Macaca fascicularis: one gene and its partners. The protein of the gene in region 3 interacts with the protein of the main gene of each other region in a pairwise test. Links are inferred from orthologs where the notes say so. Each region holds a gene or a part of one and is shown on either strand. Other genes may lie near its edges.

Region 1 (3,647 bases), on a different chromosome or scaffold from region 3:
ACCTGAGTATGGGAGGTTGAGGCTGCAGTGAGCCATGATTGAGCTACTGCACTCCAGCCTGGGTGACAGAGCCAGACCCTGTCTTAAAAAAAAAAAAAAAAAAAAAAATGAGGCTGTACACGGTGACTCACGCCTGTAATCCCAGCACTTTGGGAGCCGAGGCGGGCAGATCACCTGAGGTCAGGAGTTCGAGACCAGCCTGACCAACATGGAGAAACCCTGTGTCTACTAAAAATACAAAATTAGCCAGGTGTGGTGACTCATGCGTGTAATCCCAGCTACTTGGGAGGCTGAGGCAGGGGAATCGCTTGAACCCGGGAGGCAGAGGTTGCAGTGAGCCGAGATCACACCACTGCACTCCAGCCTGGGCAACAAGAGCGAAACTCCATCTCAAAAAAATAATAATAATAATAATTGGGAGGCCAAGGTGGGCTGATCACGAGGTCAGGAGATCGAGACCATACTGGCTAACACAGTGAAACCCCGTCTCTACTAAAAAAATACAAAAAATTAGCCGGGCATGGTGGCGGGTGTCTGTAGTCCCAGCTACGCAGGAGACTGAGGCAGGAGAATGGCGTGAACCCGGGAGGCGGAGCTTGCAGTGAGCAGAGATGCACCGCTGCACTCCAGCCTGGGCAACAGAGCGAGACTGCGTCTCAAAAAAAAAAATAATAATAATAATAAAAAGAAGTAGCAACAGAGCAGTGTTTACAGCAGCAGTTAGAGGTGGGGCATAGATACAGAGTTAAGAATGAAATATGCAAATCTGTGGGTGTGAGAATAATCTGGGTGATTGAGCAGATCAAAATAAAATCATGTTGCTTTATAAGATTTATTTATAAGTGGGGGACTGTCAGAATTGGATTTTTTTTTTTTTTTTTTTTTTTGAGACAGAGTCTTGCTCTGTTGGCCAGGCTGAAGTGCAGTGGTGTTATCTTGGCTCACTGCAACCTCCGCCACCTCAGTTCAAGTAATTCTCCTGCCTCAGCCTCCCTAGTAGCTGGGACTACAGGCACACACCACCACTCCCGGCTAATTTTTTGTATTTTTAGTAGAGACAGGGTTTCACCATATTGGCCAGGCTGTTCTCGAACTCCTGACCTTGTAGTCCACCCACTTCGGCCTCCCAAAGTGCTGGGATTACAGGCATGAGCCACTGAGCCCAGCCCAGAATTGAATTTTTTTTTTGAGATGGAGTCTCACTCTGTCGCCCAGGCTAGAGTGCAGTGGTGATCTCAGTTCACTGCAACCTCCGCCTCCTGGGTTCAAGCGATTCTCCTGCCTCAGCCTCTTGAGTAGCTGGGATTACAGACATGTGCCATGATGCCTGGCTAATTTTGTATTTTTAGTAGAGACAGGATTTCACCACCATTTTGGCCAGGCTGGTCTTGAACTCCTGACCTCAAGGTGATCCACCCACCTCGGCCTCCCAAAGTGCTGGGATTACAGGCGTGAGCTACTGCACCCAGACAGACTTGGATTTTTAAATGCGGGCAGAGGAATTTAACGTGAAATGCCAGTGATAGAGAGCTGCTAAAGGTCGTTTGGAAAATACCAATCCCATTTGAGTCCCTGCATACGTGGGTGTGTGTGGGTAGGTAAAAGGTGGGAGGGAACGGATAAAGCTTCCCAGCAGCCAAGAAGCATCTCTTCCTCCTTTACTCACCCTTAGCCAGTGGAGATCAGTGGGGCCATCGAGGAGGAGTTCACTGTGGCCCGACTCTACATCAGCAAAATCAAGTCAGAAGTCAAGTCTGTGGTCAAGCGGTGCCGGCAGCTGGAGAACCTCCAGGTGGAATGTCACCGCAAGATGGAAGTGACTGGGCGGGAGCTCTCATCCTGCCAGCTCCTCATCTCTCAGGTGAGTGCCTAAGTTTGAGAACCTTCAGATGCCATGGGAGAAAGAAGGCTACTCTGGGGTTATGGCTAAAACTCCTAACACCCAGGTGGGTGTCAAAAGTTCTGGGGTCAAAGTTCTAGGGTCAAGTGAAAGCAAGGACAGAAAAGCTGGGGTGGCAGGGGTGCAGATCAGGGCCAAAAAAGTAAAGGCTCAGGGCGGGTACTGCCTCCTGAGCCAAGGGAGCTAAAGGAAGAGCCCCATAGGAATGGCCCCCAACCCTGCACCCTCATAGGAAGTGTAGCAGGAGGGAGGGCTGCGAGCAGAGCTGGGGTTGGAGATCTGTGCGGCCTGGAGTTGTGTTCTTTGCTCCATCTTCTTCCTCTCACCAACTTTCTCCCACCAGCACGAGGCCAAGATCCGCTCACTTACGGAATACATGCAGAGCGTGGAGCTAAAGAAGCGGCACCTGGAAGAGTCTTATGACTCCTTGAGTGACGAGCTGGCCAAGCTCCAGGCCCAGGGTGAGGCCTTCTTACTCCTCCATCCCACCATCCAGGGCAGAGAAGTCAGAAACATCAAAAGAAATCACCCCAGTGATCACTCACTCAAAGCATTAGCTTGAAATCATGGATGCCAACTCATATATTAGCCAAGATTTTGCATGTAGCTCATTTTACATGAACCATACACCCTTGTTCTCTGTTCCTGCTATATCAAATTGGACAGTCCTAACACAGAAGAACACCCCTGTGGGCCCATCCCCAGTCCTTCCCGGAGTTCTGGTCACAACATGAAGTTCTTTCTGAAAGAAGTAGGTTTGATGTCAGGTGTCTTCCCCTCTTTCCCTTAGAAACTGTGCATGAAGTGGCCCTGAAGGACAAGGAACCTGATACCCAGGATGCAGATGAAGTGAAGGTGAGTGGGGAAGGTGTCAGGGATAGTTGGGGCCTGGTGTGGTGAAAGCTGTGCTGGCTCTCACAGAGCTTGTTTCTGGGAGTCTGGCCTTTGAGCTTGGGGTGGGATTGTTTGCAGAAGGCTCTGGAGCTGCAGATGGAGAGTCACCGGGAGGCCCATCACCGGCAGTTGGCCCGGCTCCGGGATGAGATCAACGAGAAGCAGAAGACCATTGATGAGCTCAAAGAGTAAGGGTTCCCAAGGGCGACTCCAGCCCCTCCCAGTCCTGTCACCTTGCTGTGCCAACTCACATGTCCCCTCTGGATCTGATTCTTTAACATCCGTGTGTCATTCCCTCAACAATGCCACAACTTTGTAGCCCCACCTCAGGAGATACATGGAATAAGGACTAGTCCCTATCCTTGAGGCTCCCAGGGTTAGAGAGGTCAGGGTTCCTGGCTCTGTCATGGAGATGGTGGCCTGAGTCTGCCCCTGGTATCTGAAACTGGACACATCAATTCTAACTGGACTCGTTCAAGAAGGAAGATGTTTGAAGAGCTGGTCTTCCCTTCCCCCTCATTAACATCTTTTTCCCCCCCTCTCCATTACCTCCTGATGCTCTGTAGCCTAAATCAGAAGCTCCAGTTAGAGCTAGAGAAGCTTCAGGCTGACTACGAGAAGCTGAAGAGTGAAGAACATGAGAAGAGCACCAAGCTGCAGGAGCTGACGTGAGTGGCATGGATTTGCCTGTAAGCCCACAGCCTTGTAGGCTCAGAACTGCGAACTCAGACATGCTTGCAGAGGCAGGATACACACGCAGACATGATGGGGTGACTCGTGGGAAAAATATGATGGGGTAGGGAAGGAACAAAAAGGACACTCTCAGCAATGACTGCCGTTGAGTATTCACAGT
Region 2 (3,647 bases), on a different chromosome or scaffold from region 3:
GGGGCGCCGGGGGCGGTGTGTACCTGCACAGCCAGAGCCAGCCCAGCTCGCAGTACCGCATCAAGGAGTACCCGCTGTACATCGAGGGCGGCGCCACGCCCGTGGTGGTGCGCAGCCTGGAGAGCGACCAGGAGGGCCACTACAGCGTCAAGGCTCAGTTCAAGACCTCCAACTCCTACACGGCGGGCGGCCTGTTCAAGGAGAGCTGGCGCGGTGGCGGCGGCGGCGACGAAGGCGACACGGGCCGCCTGACGCCGTCGCGATCGCAGATCCTGCGGACTCCGTCGCTGGGCCGCGAGGGTGCCCACGACAAGGGCGCGGGCCGTGCTGCCGTCTCAGACGAGCTGCGCCAGTGGTACCAGCGTTCCACCGCCTCGCACAAGGAGCACAGCCGCCTGTCGCACACCAGCTCCACCTCCTCAGACAGCGGCTCGCAGTACAGCACCTCCTCCCAGAGCACCTTCGTGGCGCACAGCAGGGTCACCAGGATGCCCCAGATGTGCAAGGCCACGTCAGGTGAGAAGGGGCGGCCGGGCGCACGTGGGAAGGCCTGGGGGCGAACTGCTCGCTGGTGTCAAGGGCTGCTGCCGGGAGGTACCCTTAGAATTGGGTGCAGTGAGGAACGAGTGTCATTAATTCTGGGAACCCTGCTGTCAGATGCGGGAGACTTGAGGTCTTTCAGGCCTTTGTTGACCCCCCACCCCGCCCCCGCCCTGTTCTTACCCTAATCTTGCATGTAAGGGTGCACTTGATCCTCCAGAGTACACTGGGCCAGCCCCCCCATTTCTCCTTGTAAGGACAGAAATCTAAGAAACTTAGGTAATGTCTCCGGGTTTATCCAACCAAAGGTGAGTCTTTTACCCTAGTGAGGAGAGTATTCCAGTGAAAGCCCACAGCTGCAGCTTGCAAAGGAAACTGGGTTGGGGATGGGCTTGGGTCAAGTCTAAAGATTTGGCCAGTGTCTCCCCAGATGGGGGCAGACTGGCTAATAACCAGAGTGCCAGAGCTGGGCGTTTGACAGAATTCTTGACTGCTCCTGGCTTTCCCTTTTCGATGATGATACGCCACAGCCACAAACTATATTTTTGTTAAGTGTCTTTAATATCCTTGATGGTATGTCTGAAAATTTCCCTCATATTCTTGTAGTCAAGAGCATTGGGTGGTATTGAATCAAGTTTAAAAAAAAAATGGAAGAAACCACCCATTCCTTTAAGTTACATTTAATAACAGTGACACTGACCAACATGAGCAATTGCCTTGTGCTCTGGTTACAGCACTGGCTTATTAACATATTCTTACCACTCAGAGAGGGACACTGAGAAGAACAGAAATGGTAAACATTGTAAGAATAAAATGAGAGTCAGAAGCAAATGGGAGGAACTCTGAGTCAGGAATTTGGCAAAGATCAGGGGAAACAGTGACCTGAGATAATGGGGGGGTTCATCTTTGGGGAACTGGAGGAAATTCTTGGTGCCTGGAGACAGCAGGGCAAAGAGGAAGAACCTGGCTGCCCAGGTGAGCCAGGCTCCGGCATTCTATCCCCACATCCTGGTGGACATGTTTATTAGGGTCCATTGGCCAAATGACAAGCTCCAGAGATCAGGCAATAGTGGGTGTTCCGTGGACTTCAAGGTCCTAGAACCTTCTTTATGCTCCTTCTTCACCTGTAAAATAGCCCAGTGAAATTTGCCATTGACTCCCCAGGAAGATCTTGAGTATGATCATCTGTGACCCTATTAGATTAAGAACCAATGTGTTGTAAATATCTCCAAACAGGAGGGTTCATGTTCTATCAAAATTGCAGCACTTGTCTAGTAGATTTGCTTTATGTAAAGAGATTAGGTAGATCTTTTGGAACATATTTTAGACTAAAATTTTTAAGAAGCTGTATTTGAGGTTTACTGATGGAAAACATTCCATTACCAAAAAAGCAAAGGATGCATTTAAGTAGGATTGACTTCCTACTAAATCTTTCCAACTGGACTTCCATACTGCCTACATCAATAAATGCCTAGTGCTCAGGTTTGGATGAGCTATTAAAAGCCCTAAAAGCCCTGCTCCCTTCAAACTGTACTACAGTAGCAATGATAAGCCTGAAACAGCAGAGAGAACAGGCTCTGAGAACCTTTGTGGATGCCCTCTCTTCACAATGGAGAGAAACAATTTCACAATGGGGCTACACTGAAAATGCCCTGGGGCCAGAGAAATATGTCATCCCTGTATGAGCCCTGCTCAGGTCTCACTCAAAGGACTATGTGGACATCAGGTTCTTTGCTGCTGTTGAAGCTGTCACCATCCCTATGGCCACTTCCTGGTGGCAAAGTGGGGACCTAGGATCCCAGGTCAACTTGACTCAGAATGAAGGTGCATGGTAGTGGGGAGAAAATAGAATTGGTGGGATGCAGAGATGGTTCCCCACTGTGACCATGCCATAGGGATGCCAAGACCCTGCCCTGGGGTCCTTTCCAGTATCCCTGGAAATGGTGACCTCTGGCCACTGGGTTGGTGTCGGCCAACAGGTCACAAGCTCCTCCACCTATGTCTGATCCCTGTCTGCTCTCTGCCTTTCTTGCACCACCTGCATATAGCTGCCTTACCTCAAAGCCAGAGAAGCTCAACACCGTCAAGTGAAATTGGAGCCACTCCCCCAAGCAGCCCCCACCACATCCTAACCTGGCAGACTGGGTGAGTTCTCCTTCCATGTTCTTCACTGTGTCAGCTCGAAAGAGTGTTGTAGATATTCAGATCCTAGTGACATAAGGATAAGTCAGTAAATGGACGATGAGCGTTCGTCACTGGGAAGTGTCTTCAAGAGAAGTCCCATGATCCGCTGTCATCTCTGCCTACTCCTTTCCCTGGCTGTGCCTTTATAGAGGTGAATTGTCTGTGTTCTCTTAAAGTAGACGGTGGTCCTTGGGATGTGGGGAGATGGAAGCAGGAAGTGGGACTGTGCTGCTTTGGTCAGATTTCCAGACAGCATTTGATTTCAGTTGGGATTGTACCCAGGCACGAATGTCAGGGGGAGAAAGAGAGCTGAAGACAGCAAATACCCTGAGAGGCAGGTGAAACGGCCACTGTCTTAGGATGTCTCAGGATGCAAGAAAAAAGGCTATGTCGTGGCCAAGCACTTGCTCTTTATCAACACACAAAGGAGATCAGGCGCCCTGAAGCCTTCAGCGGAAGCTGTACACAGCAAAATAAATGAAACCGACAGGCGGCTCTTTTGATAGCCTGACGAGTTCGCCTACAGCATTATCATCTCGGGGCCAGTGAGGCTGTTCTGACCTAGTGGAGGGTCTGGCAGACACAGGTAACCCACCTGGCCCTACAGCACCTGCCTCTTCTGTTGCCCCTGAGACATCACTCTAAGTAGATGTTAGGTTCTGTCAACATCTGTTGGTTAGAGGAGTAAGGAGTCCCCTTCCTCGGTTTGTCTGGTTCCTGGTTTGGTGGAGCATCAGGGGGATGTCTGGGAAAATCTGACAACTGGCTGTGAGTTGAATCATGAGAAAAGCACAATTCCAGAATTGGCTCTAATGCCTGCCTTTCAGGCTCTCATACTTGGCCGTTTTTTTTTTTTTTGAGATGGAGTCTCACTCTGTTGCCCAGACTGCAGTGCAGTGGTACAATATCAGCTCTCTGCAACC
Region 3 (3,747 bases):
GGACAGTCAGACTCCATCTCAAAACAAACAAACAAACAAACAAAAAAGGCTGGGCGCGATGGCTCAAGCCTGTAATCCTAGCACTTTGGGAGGCCGAGGCGGGCGGATCACGAGGTCAGGAGATCGAGACCATCCTGACTAACAACGGTGAAACCCGTCTCTACTAAAAATACAAAAAAAAAAAAAAAAAAAAAAGAATTAGCCGGGCGAGGTGGCAGGCGCCTGTAGTCCCAGCTACTCCAGAGGCTGAGGCAGGAGAATGGCGTGAACCCAGGAGACGGAGCTTGCAGTGAGCCGAGATAGTGCCACTGCACTCAAGCCTGGGCGACAGAGCGAGACTCCGCCTCAAAAAAAAAAAAAAAAAAAAAAAAAAGAGTTATAACGGTGTTCATAAGAAGAACTACAGACCCCAGAGCTCTCAAATCGCTGGAAGGACTTCTGCGGTGGGCCTGTGCATGATGCACAGAGGACAGGTGGGAAAGAATCACAGACACCTAGTAAGACAACGGGGCATGGCTTTGTCCCGGTTTCAGAGCACCGACACATTTAGTCACCATTTACCTTCCTGGGAGGTAGATTAGGCAGGGGGCACACTAGCCCTGCTTTGTAGGAACAGAAGTAGAGTCTCAGAGAAAACAAGTGACTTGCCCAAGAAGCCTTATTAAGTACCAGCCAGGACAGTGTATTTTCTATTCCTTGTGTTTTGGGATAACTTAGTACCGTCCCCTCCGATGAACCAGTGCCTGCAAAAGCCCTTGAGATCTGGGAAACAGGAGGCACAGATCTTGGAGTTTACCTTGTTCTTAATCAGTCCTCAGGCAGTCGCCTCTAACGCGAGCGAATACCCGCTTCCCGAGGCCGTCACTGGGCAGAGGAGGGGCCAGGCTCCGGATCCCAGATCCCCTTTCCCCGCCCCGCCGTGCCACGCCTGCGCGGGCACGGCCGCCCGCCCCCAAACCCCTCCCGCGGAACCCGCAATCCTGCCTGCGCGGGCGCGGGACTGCGGGCAGGGGGAGGGGCATCGCGGCGCGTCCGTTGCTAAGGCCGCGCAGCCCTAGCGACCGAACGCCCTGCGGCGGCCGCGCAGGCGCTGTGGTGGGCTCCGGTGCACTGTGGGATGGAAACCGGAGCGGCGCGTCCTGGCGGGACCGGGCGGCGGCGGCGGGGCCGGCGGCGGCCAGGGACCCGGGCTTAGGCTCGGCCGGGCCGGCTGAGGACGCAGGCGGCCAGCGGGCGGCGGGCGCCGTCATGAACGCGGCGGTGGTGAGGCGGACGCAGGAGGCGCTGGGGAAGGTGATACGGAGGCCGCCGCTGACAGAGAAGCTGCTGAGCAAGCCCCCGTTCCGCTACCTGCACGACATCATCACGGAGGTGGGCGCCGGGTTCCGGGCCCGGCCAGGTGCGGGTCGGGGTTCCGGTGGGCGCCGAGGTCAGGGCCCAGGCCGGGTGGCGCCGGGTGCGAGCCGGGCTCGGGCTCAGGTGCGGGTGGGGGGCCGGGGCTGGGCCAGAGTCGGGGCCCGGGCCGGGTGTGAACCCGGTGTGGGCCGAGCTCGAGGTGCAGGTCGGGGACCCGGTCAGCGCCGAGTGTGAACCGAGTGTGGGCCGGGCTCAGGGTGCAGGTCAGGGGCCGGGTTAGGGCCGAGTGTGGACCGGGTGTGGGCCGGGCTCGGGGTGCAGGTCGGGGACTGGTTCAGGGCCGGGTGTGGGCCGGGCGCAGGGTGCGGGTCGGGGACCGGGGTGAGTTCCGGGGTCGGGGCGAGAGCTCTGTGCGGCCCCTGCCCGGGAGCCCGGCCTGTAGGCCCAATTCCGCGGCGCCCTCCACGCGGAGGTCCTGCCCCTCCCCCGGCTCCGGGCCGCCGCTTACAGGGAGGCTCCGGGCCCTCGGGGACCATTACTTCTTCCCTGCCTACCGTGTGTCTCCTTAGTGCATCTTCCATTCTGCCTGGCAGAGCTGCTTCTGTGACTCCCACCTCATCTAACCCTGCAGAACCCTTCTCACTTTCCCTGAAGCATTTAGCACGTGAAAGGCTAAATCCTGGGAGAATGGAAATAATATTTTTTATACAGCCTTCTGCCCCGAAGTTTCCCTCCATACCACATTTTGGGTGCTTAATAAATGCCTGTGGGTGAATTTAGTGGAGGTGGTGGTAGGGAGACTTGGCAGGAAAAACTAACAGAGCAGCACACCCTGCCCTAAATTGAGATTGGTGGTCTCTGTAGCTTTTCCCCATTTGCAGATGGTGTGCTCCTCAGTGACGGAGACCCTGGCTTGCTTATTAGTATGGCTCTGGTGATCTGCAGTGGGTAAGGTACATAGAAATTGCACAACAAACATCCCCTGTTGAGTGGGACCTGTCAAGGCTTGTGGTAACTCCCTGGTAACTCTTAGGAGCGTCACTGCGGGGGTTGCAGCACCCATTTCCATGGTGGACCCAAGGGCACGTGGGAACTCAGAGGTGTGTTTTGGGATTTAGGATTCAGGTTGGACTTGCAGACTTCCAGGGCCTCATGACCTCACCTGGTGATGGTCCTCAAGCTCTGTTTCTCACTCTTTTCAACAGATTGGGTGCCTTATTCTTGCACAGACTTTGCTTTACTGGGTCTGCCCTCCTACCTTAGCTTAAACTTGTGGGCTGGAGCGTGTGCCTCTGTGTTAAAACAGTGCCTAAAAATGCTCTCGAATCCACCCACATCCCGAGGCACTGCCAGCCCTGGTCACGTCCTCCCAGCTGGTGCAGCACTTACAGCCTGTCCTGGACAGTGTGTGGGGAGGGGACCTGCTGTGTGGATAGCCCGGTGGGAGCGGAACAGTGTGCCGCATCACCACTGTCCCATGAAATAGGCAGGTACCCGTCCTCTGACCGAGAGGGAACAAGAGCCAATGTGAGCCCAGCCAGCTATAGCTGTGGCTGCCAAAACCTTTATTCTCCCAGTCCTGTCTGCCCCACTGAAATGCAGAGCCCTGAAATGCAGAGGGAGGTGCAGGGAGTGTGCCTTATCCTTGTGGGGCAGTAGTGGCGCTCAGCTCACGGTGGCTGTCCAGTCACTACCACATGGTTGGTCAGAGGCATCCTAATGGGAGAGGAGGAAGAATATGGGCTGGGTGCTGTGGCTCACGCCTGTAATCCCAGCACTCTGGGAGGCCAAGGCGGGCCGATCACTTGAGCCCAGGTGTTCAAGACCAGCCTGGCCAACATGGCAAAACTCCATCTCTACTGAGAATACAAAAATTAGCTGAATGTGGTGGTGCACCTGTAATCCCAGCTACTCAGGAGGCTGAGTAGGGAAGATTGCTTGAGCCTGGAAGGTTGAGGCTGCAGTGAGCCGTGATTGTACCACTGCACTCCAGCCTGGGTGACAGAGTAAGACCCTGTCTCAAAAAAAAAAAAAAAAAAAAAAAAGGGGATTGCTTTCCTGGCCAGGTAGATAGGGTGCGTGGAACGAGCTGCGTGTTCCCAATTAGGAACTACTGGTCTGCTCTTCTCCCATAGACTTCCTCATCTAATGCCAAAGTTGATTTCTGTCCCTGTGTAAAGATAAATAAATTGTCACCTACTTGATAAAGATGTTAGAATGACTGACACATTGGAAAGGATTTTCAGATAATAGATGGGGAGCCTCTCATGAAAATGCCTTGCTGTCCTGAATATTATACACAAATTACTATATTAGTATTTTAGCTATAGCTAAACTAACCACCCCGTTTCATTAAGCTAAGTGTGGATCCTGTGACGTTAATGTCTCTTG

Evidence for each region.
Region 1: the proteins of TRAF3IP1 (region 3) and KIF5A interact in a two-hybrid assay, tested with the Homo sapiens proteins (2 studies listed by IntAct). The link is inferred for Macaca fascicularis from reciprocal best matches to the Homo sapiens genes TRAF3IP1 and KIF5A.
Region 2: the proteins of TRAF3IP1 (region 3) and FRMD4A interact in a two-hybrid assay, tested with the Homo sapiens proteins (2 studies listed by BioGRID and IntAct). The link is inferred for Macaca fascicularis from reciprocal best matches to the Homo sapiens genes TRAF3IP1 and FRMD4A.

Annotation. Positions count from the first base shown.
Region 1 is NC_088385.1:64,384,619-64,388,265, forward strand, and holds part of KIF5A (kinesin heavy chain), read left to right. Parts: intron 1-1,672; coding exon 1,673-1,861; intron 1,862-2,243; coding exon 2,244-2,361; intron 2,362-2,690; coding exon 2,691-2,755; intron 2,756-2,872; coding exon 2,873-2,982; intron 2,983-3,360; coding exon 3,361-3,462; intron 3,463-3,647. UniProt on the Homo sapiens protein: Microtubule-dependent motor required for slow axonal transport of neurofilament proteins (NFH, NFM and NFL). Can induce formation of neurite-like membrane protrusions in non-neuronal cells in a ZFYVE27-dependent manner.
Region 2 is NC_088383.1:14,582,693-14,586,339, reverse strand, and holds part of FRMD4A (FERM domain-containing protein 4A), read left to right. Parts: coding exon 1-516; intron 517-1,204; exon of another isoform or gene 1,205-1,664; intron 1,665-2,588; coding exon 2,589-2,685; exon of another isoform or gene 2,686-2,748; intron 2,749-3,647. UniProt on the Homo sapiens protein: Scaffolding protein that regulates epithelial cell polarity by connecting ARF6 activation with the PAR3 complex. Plays a redundant role with FRMD4B in epithelial polarization. May regulate MAPT secretion by activating ARF6-signaling.
Region 3 is NC_088386.1:134,234,994-134,238,740, forward strand, and holds the start of TRAF3IP1 (TRAF3-interacting protein 1), read left to right. Parts: upstream 1-1,092; 5' UTR 1,093-1,248; coding exon 1,249-1,371; exon of another isoform or gene 1,372-1,399; intron 1,400-3,747.